Cricetulus griseus: one gene and its partners. Each later gene encodes a partner of the first gene's protein in a complex. Links are inferred from orthologs where the notes say so. Each region holds a gene or a part of one and is shown in the gene's direction. Other genes may lie near its edges.

Region 1 (4,285 bases):
TTAGGTCATCTTTGGTTTCTATGTGCATCAGTAACTGTTTCCAAATGCTACCAAAAATGCATGACAGTAGATACCTTCATCCACAAATTTGTCTTATCCAGTGAGTATTTTAACGCAGCCATACCACTTTACAGTTCAGGGTGAAGTGAAAATGTACTTCAGTTTTTTGTTTTTTTTTTTATGTCAAATAAAACCAACTTTTACAACCACTCTTTTTCCGCTGGTAATTCTTTTCATGGAGAGATACTAAAGTGAAAAGGAAACGTGACATCTGGGTGGGGAGGGGCGTCAGAAGGAGTCTTCACAAGTAATGTTCGCGAGGAGAGGATTTTAAAGCGGAAAACACGAGAGGGCGAGATCATGGTTTCTTATTATTCTCTCCTCCCTCCACTTTTTCGCTTCACCAATCTGTAGCCCCCCTCAAATTTAGAGGCGGGTTCAGCAAGACAAGGCTGCAGGAAACCCAGGTTTCACTGTACTGCCACCCTGGCTTCGTGATGTAATTGTTATTTATTGAGACTCTGAACCGAGCACAGCTGCTTAAAGAGGTGACAGCCCATCTCCTAGTCCTGTTGGGTCAGATCCTTCCTGGGGGTGGTGCAGATGGCCCGACAGACCCTGCTGGAGACTTCGCAGTGACAAAGCAGCTGAAGATAAACCCGGTTCCTGGGTCCTGCGTCCGTCTAGGGAGCTGAGCTGGGCACTCCTCAGGTCTCCTTCCCAGTTTTCCGCTTGGAATCACGCCACATTAATTACTGGGTCCTACTAGGTGCTGTGGGCATGGGGTCAAAATGACCTAGAGTTATAGCGCCGTCCTTCCTGATTTTAAGCGGGACACAGATTTCTAGGAGGTGGAAATTAGGGTGGGTAAAAGGCAGTCAAGAGAACGCGTGCTGTGGGTGAAATGGGAGGAAGGGAGACCCTTAAGGTGCCAGCCCCTAGGTGGAGACCCCAGGGAAGGGTCAGGGTGTCTTTATTCCTCTGCGGTGCTCACAACGCTTGCCCAAGCCTGGGTGACATGGACGATCACCTGGTCCCTAGGGACAATCTGTCCAGGCGGCTGGACGGGGCCGGAAAGCCAGGGCTCCTGCTCGGAGAGCAAGGCACCCCCCTTTCCCGGTCGAACTGTGTCCTCTCTCTACCTTCAAGGCCGCGCAGCCCCGGGTCTCCCACCCGGAGCACCGGAGAGGAGGCCTGCAGGAGCCGGATAGGCTCCCCAGCTCCAGCGAGCCGCCGGGTACGCGATCAACCCGGGTGACAATGGGAGGGAGGGGCAGAAAAGGGTTAAGAAACTTGGCTGAAGAGCTGAATGGCGTGGAGCAGCGAGGGGAGGGACCCGGCCGCCGCGAACTCGGCGGCGGAGGGAGGAGCGCGGCTGCGGCGGGCGGGCGGCGAGCGAGGCGCTCAAAGTCAGCCTCGCAGACATTGCAGCAGAGCCCCGAACTCGGGAGGCGACGGCGATCGCGGTGCAGGCGGAGGACGAGCCGGCCCCAGCCCGCCCGTGCGCACCGCCCGTGGCCTCGCGCGGCCGCAGGGCACGGCTCACCCGGGAAGGAGGGAGCGACGCGGATCGGCGGCCCGGAGCCGAGGCGGCCTCGGTGAGTGGCGATCGCGGCCCGGGCTCGGTGCAGAGCTGGCAGAGCGGACGCCGAGCCACCCGGGCACGGCCTGGGTGACCGGCCCGGGGAGGCGGCGGAGGCCGGGGAGGCCCACGGGGGACGCCGGCCACACGGATCCCGGGGACAGCTTGCCGCCGCGCCCGGCTCCGGGTCTCCCCGGGAACTCGCGGCCGCCCCCCCCCCCCGCGCCGACGCGGCCGCCAAGTTGTAGAGTTCCCAGCCGTGGGATCGTCCGTGCCAGCCGTGGCGCGAGGGGCGCAGCCTCCCTGGGTGTGCTGAGCCGGGACCCACGCGGGTGGCCGGGTGGCGGGGCCCGGGTCGAGCCCGCTCGGCTGCTCCTGTTGGCCCCGAGCCCCGGGCGCTGGCTGCTGCGCCGCTCGGTCCTGCCGCCCAGCGGTGCCCGCGGTGGCGCCCGCGCTGCTCCCCGCCTTTAGTTGGTGCCTCCCTGCGCGGTGCTCGCCGATTCCCGGCAGGGAAAAGTGACTCGGACAGGGACAGCGCTGAGCCCCAGGCCCGGCCTGCTGGGCACCAGGTCCCCGCCTGCCGAGGGAGGGCGAGGCTCCTTGCACCGGAGGCCTCAGCCTAGTTTTTCCCCAGCATCCGAGAGCGGGCTTTGCGTTTAGTGTGAGCCTGCTGAAGTCCTCGGAGACGCTCTTCTCTCTTGTGCCACTCTCCTCCTTACTCCGGTTTGAGGAAACCCTCGTCCGTGGCAACACTCTCCGGACCCCCACCCCCATCCTTCCCAAAGTAGTTTCCAAATTTTAATCAGGAGTTGATGTTCAGACTGAAGGAACAAAGGAATCCACTGTGTTTAAAAGGCGGACAGGCGGTGAGCCTGACACATGTTGATCTCTGAGGCATTCCAGGAGTTTCTACCTTCCATCATGTCAGTAATTTAATTGGATTCTGGCGGTCGTAAACGAAGAACAGAACGTTAGGTAATTTTATGTTAAGATACTTTTTAAAAATTAGTGTGTCATTTTAGTTGGTGGTAAAGTCCCTACGTTCTTAGGTGCAAGAACTTTTAACTCATTTTTGTGACATCAGGCTTGAGTTTGTCTGCTAATGTAAATGATTGTGACACTGAGGGAAAACCGTGTTTTAGAGGAAGAGAGAGACTGTCTCAAAGTAAAACAAGATCGGTGTGCCTGCCTGTCTGTGTCTGTGTACACACCTATACATGCGTAAATGATGTATAGTCTTCGTATTTCCTGGGTTTTGTAAAGCAAGGGGCTTCAGGAATTCATTCTTTAAAGTTATGAATTACATTGAACCTGCTTATTAGTGAATCATAGGTTTTACCAAGTGGGCGGCACCTTCCCGATGCTGTTATTCAATGTTCAGTCACCAGTTTGCCACCTTTGTCTAAGAGACAGTGAAGTAAGTCTACTTTTTAAGCAAACAGTGCTTCATGCGCATGGCCCCTAAATGTGGCTGCTGCCTGGGTGTGTTGAAATGTCCTTTTACTTCCAAGTGACTTAGTTGCCCTGGTTTTGCCCAGCAGTTTGGTAATGACCATAGGGTTTAATTGACTCAGGGAGCCTGGCTTCAACACCAATAGGAACTTTCTAGGCTTGGTCTTACTTAGTTCCTATAGACAAAGGAGAAGCAGTAACATAGCAGGCACTACTGCTTAGTCTAGGACTGGATACTTACTCCAGGCCACTTTGTACTCCGGTGGGGAGATTTCTTTGCAAAGTTAGCCTGCAAAGTACAGGAGGAGCTTGAGGAAAACAGGTAAGAAGTAAATAAGGAGGGCAGTTAGTTCGGTGGCTGCCTTTACACAGATGAGAGTCCCTGTGCTGCCTTTGAGACCGTGGAACATCAGGTTTAAAACCCATGAGAAGCTTGAGAACCTGTGTTTTCCAAACTTTGTTAAACTTGTACTTTTCTAATTGAGCTATCCGGAAATATTGTGAGTTAGCAGTGGAGAAGTGTTTGTGGCTGAGGCTAGGGCTGCTCTGGGTCCTCCAGTTTTAAGAGCAAAACATTGTGATAAAAAATAACCTATACCACCACCTAGAGTCTGCTTGTTAGTTTATGGCTCCTGGAGTTTGCTTACATCCATCCCCAGGTCCCTTATGGTTGCTGCATGGTCCAAACATGATTTGAGAAGTTGAGGCTTCCTAAAGGCTGTCCAAAAGAACAATTACTTAAGTCATAAACAGCAAGGGCCAATTTAAATTATCCACGCCACCTTCAGAATAGAAAATTATGACATATCAACTCAAGTGGGCTGGCCTCCAAAAGATATTAATTCAGAAATGTAAGGCAGAGCCTTCTAAGCGTGAGCTTTAGGGGTGGCTGTGACTGCTAAAAGATTTTCTGTTTTCAGAGATTCAAGAAATATTACGAAATAAGTGTTCTCAGTACCTTTTGTGGTTCTAGGGAAACAAAAGCAATGATTAAAAAATATAGAGGGAGGAGTATTGCCACTACAAAATTCTAGACACTGAAAAGGTCAGAGAGAATGTAGACAGTAGTTGAATTGGGGTTCAACTATGTGAGAATCAGGCCATGTGAAACAGAGTGATTATCTGTCCTGCTGGTGGTGGCTATGCAAGAGAGCAGTCTGTTGAACAGGACACCTTAGGGAGGCAGCCTCTGCCATGTGGCGCAGCACATTGTCCAAGGAGGAAGTAATGCTCCTCCTTGTAACGTGTAGC
Region 2 (3,279 bases), about 160 Mb from region 1:
CATCTCTGCAAGTCACTGCTGTTACCTTCATCTGCTAGACTTTCATTCGCTGAGACCCTTAGTGTAGAAAAAGCTCATTCTTTGGAAGAAAATCACCCCTAGCACTTACTCATTTGGTCTGGTGAATGGCTAAGAGGCTCAAGACACTAGCCAGTTGATCTGAGTTTGACCCCCCCACAGGACCCACATGGTGGAAGAAGAGAACTGACTCCGAGAATTTGCCCATACACACACATAGCATATAAACATACTTGCACACACACAGAGTTGAGATAAATAAATGGCATTCTAAAAACAAAAAGCAATTGACTTACACTCATTCTGTATACTGTGTATAATAGGTACTCCTCTTTCTAGCTGTAGTGCCCTTTCTAACCCGGACTGCCACTCACCTACTTCTCTGTGAGCAAACTTCTTGTTTTCCCACTGAGACAGCCAGGAGGGCTCCAGATGGTGCACTCTGGATTAGGGAGGAGCCCAGAACCTCACCTGGGCTCTGGGGATATGGGGGGGGGGCAAATTTGCATATGAATACCTCTTTGAGTTAAGTTATTCATATTCAAAATGCATCTGGTGTATTCCAAGTGTCCTACTATAGGACCTCTATCTATCTCTCCCTGCCCCCTCACTGGAGGCTTAAGCAGCAGTAAATGTGTCTTCGCCATGATGAGCAATGTTGTGGAAGTCATCCTGAGTCCTTGATTTTCACTCTTATGACTGCCCTCCCCTGACATCCTGTCCTTTCTCCTGCTTACAGCTAATATGCAAGGTGTCTACGTTAAGAGCCTTATGTGGACGACATACAGAAAAGCTAATGGCATTTAAAGCAATATACCCAGACATTGTGCGACTCCATTTTCCTCCATTATACAAGGAATTGTTCACTTCAGAATTTGAGCCAGCAATGCAAATTGATGGGTAAATGTAGTACCCGAGCACTTCTAGAACAACTGAAGTACAAACATGAAAGAAAAAAAAAAAGGAAATAAAACAATGACAACGAAGACAAAATTAACTGAGACACTTTCTATGGCCCTGCACAGCCCTGGAGCGCCAACACACTGCACAGACATCTTGTGGTGATCGGGGTTCAGGCACAGAGGGAAAACAATGAGAACCAATAAAAGCTAAACTTGTTTTGCTCATGCATATGGTTTCCACTATGCCTACAGATACGGACCCTTTTCTGTCTCGACTTCTAAAGCGGTTGACCTCTGCAAGTGGAGGGTACTACAGTCAGAGAAGTCCCTTTTCTTATAGCTCACTGCCCACAGACTCTTACGGGTAACAACAGAGTCCAGCAGTAATCGGTGACCCCGGGATGCATAGCGGGGGTTGCAGCGTTACTTTGCACAGCTTGCTTTTCTGTGTCATGAAGGAAGATTTTGTTTCTCTCACCGATTATTGCCGGTCAGCGGGATGGCGTGAAAAGGGGATCCATAGCGCTCGCAACAATAGCATTATAATATATTACACAGGGTAAATGGGCATGAAGACTATATATAGCTAAAGAGATATTGTTTATATATTGTTTTAATTAATATAAAATGTAGTGACTGGCGTAGCTTTTCCTGTTGAATTGATAAGGCACTTTCCGTTTTGCACCTTTTGTTTTCTTTAAATTAAATGCTAGCGTGTTCACTGTCGCCGTGTCGCATGTACACCAGAAACACAAGTTTAGCTGAGAAGGCTTGGAAGGTACGTCGGGAGGTATTTATGCTGCTGTTTACAAAAAAAGAAAAACAAAAAACAAAAAAAAAATTACTTTTGAAAGACTGGCTGGTCATATCCAGAAATCAACATGTTGAATTTCTTTTCCCACCTGTAAATTTGGAATTAACGGATCATACTTTGTTTTGCATGCAATTAAGAATGGGTGTGTTTATGCTTCATACAGAGTCAAAAGAGTATCTGGTGCTGTGGGCTTAAACCATATGTGCATTTTTTTAAGTTTTTAAGATGCCACCTTTGGGAAGTGAAGGAGGAGAGATTTTCATTTGACATAATTCAGTAGTCACAGGGACACAGTATCAACTCGGAATTCTGATGCTTAGAACATATTAGTAACCAGAATGTTTATTGGACTGTAGCTCTTATTTAGAAGCACCCAAAGACTCTATGTGGAGCAAACACACTCCCCACAGTCATTGAATGCCTTATGTTCTTGGCATCAGGAGCCCTAAGAATTCATCTCAGAGAAAACTGACCCTAGACTAGCTGTCCGAGATTCTAGAAATGCTGCTGTCCATATTGGGTAGACAGTGGATGAAGAGGGAGGGAGGCAGTGTTGAACCTGGTTCCTGTATTTAAAATAAGCCTTCAGAGTGAAGGTGATGCCAGCTGCAGACATTTTCTCGTGTGTTTATCCTTCACTAGAAAACTGTGGACTGTAATTTATTTTTTTAAATATTTAGAAAATAGTTTGGCTTTTGTGTTCAGGTAAGAAATATTGAGGTAATCTTGATTAAATTTGCATTTAAAAATAATCCCCAGTGAGCAGAGGAAGGAACAGTCTCATGTTCATAGGTGTGCATGTTTTGAAAGCAAATGCCCTGAGACTAGAAAGATGATGGCTCAATGGTCAAAAGCACTATTGCTCTATCAAAGGACCAAAGCCTGGAACCCAGCAATCAGATCATGCAGCTCAAAAGAGCCTGTAACTCCAGCTCCAAGATACCAGTGTTCCCTATTGGCCTCTGTGGGTGTGGGCATGGGTGTGAGTACACACACACACACACACACACACACACACACACACACACACACACAATGAGAGAGACGGACATAGAAAAAATCAATAAATCCTTTAAAACAAGTGCCCTTTTGAGAAATTAGGAGGCATTTGGGAAATGACTTTGGTCACAAGATACTGGTCTGGCCTCAAAGACCGTATCTGTAAGGAAAAGGGAACATCTTCCATGGCACAAAGTTGGGTGCTTCTTCAAAATCCTATACATCCAATAGCCTCCTCTGCTACTAGGGTCCTTCTAGAATCTTTTGCCAACATTTCTGTTCCTGCTGATGTCCATAGGATGGGTTTACCAGGGCCAGCTTCCCAGAGTACTTCACAATTTTCAACTTCACTGACTTTCTGCCTTATTTACTAAGGGACTTGGAAAGTAGGAAGGAAATATTTGTACAGAAATGTATGGGTGAAGCCTAAATGACATCTGATCTTTGTTTTTTTTTTTTTCCAGAGACATAGTAAGGGTTTAATCATAAACAGGAGAGCAATATTTACTTAAATTTCTTACAAGCATAGAAAATTTTATGTGTTTA
Region 3 (3,650 bases), on another chromosome or scaffold:
TATAAGCAGGATGGTTTTTATGGGTGCAGATATTAGCTGTATTTGGAGGGTTGGCTTGGTACATCGGGACGGCAGGGAAGGAGGGAAACTCCAATTTAATTCATCCCAAGGAAATAGAGTTATATAGTCGGTAATTCATCTTGGCAGAAGGGCTCTGACCTTTAGCTCTTCTTCAAAAGAATTAAAACAATTAATGACTTTTGTGCCTACTAAGACTATGGGCACTCATGGGTCTTTGCTTTCTGCATTAGTCCATATTTCAGTTTTCCAGTAGGCTTTTATTTTGAAACTGTTGTGTGCTATTCAATCTGCTTCACCAGATCCCACTTAGAAATCAGAGAGCAAACCCAAGAAGCACCTAACTTCTCTTACCTGTCTGCTATAAAAATGCTCATGGCAGGACCAAGTCTTCCTTCCAGAAAGCTAGGCAAAGAAAGGGATGTTTTCCATCAAGAACAGTGACTTCTTTCTTGATGTGAATTTTCCTACACACTGCTTAAGGCACACAGAGAAAGCTATGATGGAGCAGGTGTGTTTTATTGGAGGCTGGTACAATTATGTTCCAAAACACAAACTACCTTAGGGTTTGTTAAACTGGGTGACTATGTTAGTGATCATGTAGTTCTCTGGTTTGACCCCATAGATAACAAGATTGTCTCGCATTTGTTGGTGGCTGAACCAGAGAAGATCTATGCCATGCCTGACCCTACTGTTCCCGACAGCGACATCAAAGCCCTCACAACACTCTGTGACTTGGCTGACCGAGAGTTGGTGGTTATCATTGGATGGGCAAAACATATTCCAGGTAAGTTCTCTGAAAACCCAAAAGAAACACAAAGGCTGCAGTTGCCTCCAGGTTTATATGCACCATAGGAGGAAAATGTACCTTTTTTGTGGTATTATTTCTTAACCATCACTTTGTTGTTTGCACTTAATTCAGTACTCATTGTCTTGTGGCAGAGCATTATATAGCAGTAACCATTCTACCTATGCACTGTCTTGAAGTCTCTTCACCATTCATTTCATATTTGAAGGCATTAGTTGCCCACATTAAATAAAGACCGTACAATCCATAAAACCATTTCTTAGTTATAGTGGTAATTCTTATCTTTTTCCTGATGAAGATAATTCTGTATTTTTCACTATTGTTTTCAGCACTGGGCTAATGTCCCCTTTGCTTCTAAGAATCATCCATCTTGTTCTTTCATATCATATCATATCATATCATATCATATCATATTGCATTGGTTTTCTCATTATGATCACAAATTTTACATTAATTTGCAATCAGATATTTATGATGAATCTAAATACAAAATGAAATGATAGACTAAGATGGTGGATTTTTCCCATTTGCTGATTTCAAGTTAGTGTTTTATTACATTTCTTTTTTGACCCATTATGTAATATATAATATACCTGGCCACATATTTTGAAAATGTTAGTATTGTGTCTGAACTTGATTTCATTTCCTTGGACTTTTATTTTCAAATAGTTCATAAAGAAGTTTTCGAATGACAAGAAATGTTTTTCTGGCACACACGGTTAACTTATTTCCGTCTTCTTAAACTAGTTTGTCTTTATGCTTTGAATGCTACAGTAATTTCTTTAATCAAATTGATGGAAGTCCCTTTCCCAGCCCACACTGAAACCAATTTATTGGTCATGATACGCCAGCCATGTCGCTAACAGTCGTAACGAACTGTCAGGCAGTATAGCGGTGAAGCTAATTTGAAGTCATTAGGTGTGCAGCGCTCAGGCAACAATTTGTTACAGTGGGTTAGGGACACAGCTGACATTTCTGAATAGCTTTGTTCAGGGCAGTTCTAGATGAGACCAAGCAAATTGTAAACTAATTTAAACATCACTCTGTATTATACCGGCTACTTTGTCTTACACTGTTTGCTAATAAAGCTCTCCAAATTAAGTCAGAACTAGTTAGTTAAATGGGTAACTTGAATGTATGCTTTGGAAAACACCCGCACAAGAATAACAATATCTAAAAGAATACAGTCTGGTCCTGTGGCTACATGATGTTGTATTTAGGTTACAATCACACCTATATGGATTGCCTAAAAAGATGTTTGGAGGAAGAAATTCACAAAGCATCAGATGGCTGGGTGTGGTGTTCTAGCATTCCGGAGGCTGAGGCTGGAGGATTAGCCTTGACTGTGTAATGAAAGCCTATCACAGGGAAGAAAAGCTAGGCAGCAGATTTGTCTGGATTGTAAATGAAAATTTCTTTGGAAAGAAGGTGCTATTGGTGGTCAGGTTACAGCAGAGAGACAAAACTCACAGTTTCTGAAAATATGTCTATGGACACATTTTTCCATAATCAACATAGATCATACACATGATATCCCATTGTTATATATACTTCTAGGCACAGTTTTTCTATTTTAATGTTTTTAATTTAAGTAAAATTACATCACTTCTCCCCTCCCTTTACCCTTAGCCCTTCCCAATTACTCTCTTTTGGTCTCTTCCCATAACCCCAACTTTCAAGTAAATAACCTTTTTCTTTATTATTATCACACACACATGCACATACATGTATATTAAATATAGTTATTATAACCCATGGTTACTCATCGTGGCACTATGGATATTTGGTACTAGAAAATTCTGTTCTAGCTGACTTTTCTATTTATTATGGGATGCTTAATGGCATCCTTAGCGTCTACCCATTAGATGCCAGTAGTACCCTTAACAAATAAACAAACAAACAAACAAACAAAAAAACCTATTCTCCAACATGCCTGGAAACAATTCACACCAAGCTGCCTACCCCAACCCTCCCCACTGAGAACCACAGTCCAACCCAGGATATTTATTCCCCTCTATTCAAGGGCAGAGTGATTTGTGGCAAAGAGAAATTCAAGCACTCCTATAAGTTCATGGATGTTTCTAGAACCTTCAAGTCACATTTAAGCCCAGTGTGACTCATAACACCATTGCCAAAACCCAGGACTAGCTAGGTTGAGATAGGACAAGCACCACAGTTTGGAATAGACTGGGCTAAATTGTGTATTTCAGACCAGTCTGTGTAAGAGTAAGACTGTGTCTCAAAAACATGGAAGCATGCATGTGCTCCCCAGCAACCATGTAAAAGCTAGGCATGGTGGCACGTATCTGTCATCCCAGTCATGGATTTGGAGACAGGGGGATCTTGGGAAATTGGTCACTAGTCTAAGTAAACCAGTGGGCTTCAGATTCAATGAGAGTTGCTAGCTTAAAAAAATGGTGGAGAGCCATAGAGGAAAACACTCAGCATTGCCCTCTGGATTCCATGCCCCCTGCCATAAACACAAACAAACAACAGCAGTGTGAATCCTGCCATCATGAAGCCGAATCACCTATCATTCCCCTGAGCTCTGCTCGTCTCCCTGAGTTAAGAGATTTATTAAGGCAATGTTTTGATACCATCCAGGATTGTCACAATAAAGACCAGCTATAAAAAAATATATAGCAACTTCTCCCAAGCCCCATGGTTAGGAAAGGTCAGAGGTGACTTAGCAGCCCTGATTGTGCATCTAAGTGGAGATGAAGGCTTACAAAGCAGCCTGCTGGAGTCATGGCCTGGGCGACTTCTGCGAAGACGGTAACTTTAAATAACTCCAAGTAGCGCCGTTTCCAGTGCCGGAAACAAT

What was found.
Region 2: the proteins of Nrip1 (region 1) and Rora are in contact, whole or in part, in a crystal structure (PDB 4S15), measured with the Homo sapiens proteins. The link is inferred for Cricetulus griseus from reciprocal best matches to the Homo sapiens genes NRIP1 and RORA. Residues at the interface, in NP_001426204.1 of Homo sapiens: Thr499, Leu500, Leu501, Gln502, Leu504, Leu505, His507; in NP_599023.1 of Homo sapiens: Gln332, Val335, Lys339, Phe344, Met345, Gln349, Gln352, Ile353, Leu356, Pro505, Leu506, Glu509, Leu510.
Region 3: the proteins of Nrip1 (region 1) and Esrrg are in contact, whole or in part, in a crystal structure (PDB 2GPP), measured with the Homo sapiens proteins. The link is inferred for Cricetulus griseus from reciprocal best matches to the Homo sapiens genes NRIP1 and ESRRG. Residues at the interface, in NP_001426204.1 of Homo sapiens: Ser378, Leu379, Leu380, Leu381, Leu383, Leu384, Lys385, Ser386, Gln387; in NP_001429.2 of Homo sapiens: Val277, Ile280, Lys284, Phe289, Leu294, Gln297, Met298, Leu301, Gln302, Lys448, Leu449, Glu452, Met453.

What each region holds. Positions count from the first base shown.
Region 1 is NC_048597.1:18,833,960-18,838,244, forward strand, and holds the start of Nrip1 (nuclear receptor-interacting protein 1), read left to right. Parts: upstream 1-1,468; 5' UTR 1,469-1,598; intron 1,599-1,952; exon of another isoform or gene 1,953-2,557; intron 2,558-4,285. UniProt on the Homo sapiens protein: Modulates transcriptional activation by steroid receptors such as NR3C1, NR3C2 and ESR1. Also modulates transcriptional repression by nuclear hormone receptors.
Region 2 is NC_048597.1:180,928,499-180,931,777, forward strand, and holds the end of Rora (nuclear receptor ROR-alpha), read left to right. Parts: intron 1-757; coding exon 758-922; 3' UTR 923-2,745; downstream 2,746-3,279. UniProt on the Homo sapiens protein: Nuclear receptor that binds DNA as a monomer to ROR response elements (RORE) containing a single core motif half-site 5'-AGGTCA-3' preceded by a short A-T-rich sequence.
Region 3 is NC_048598.1:6,689,750-6,693,399, reverse strand, and holds part of Esrrg (estrogen-related receptor gamma), read left to right. Parts: intron 1-622; coding exon of another isoform or gene 623-643; coding exon 644-805; intron 806-3,650. UniProt on the Homo sapiens protein: Orphan receptor that acts as a transcription activator in the absence of bound ligand. Binds specifically to an estrogen response element and activates reporter genes controlled by estrogen response elements.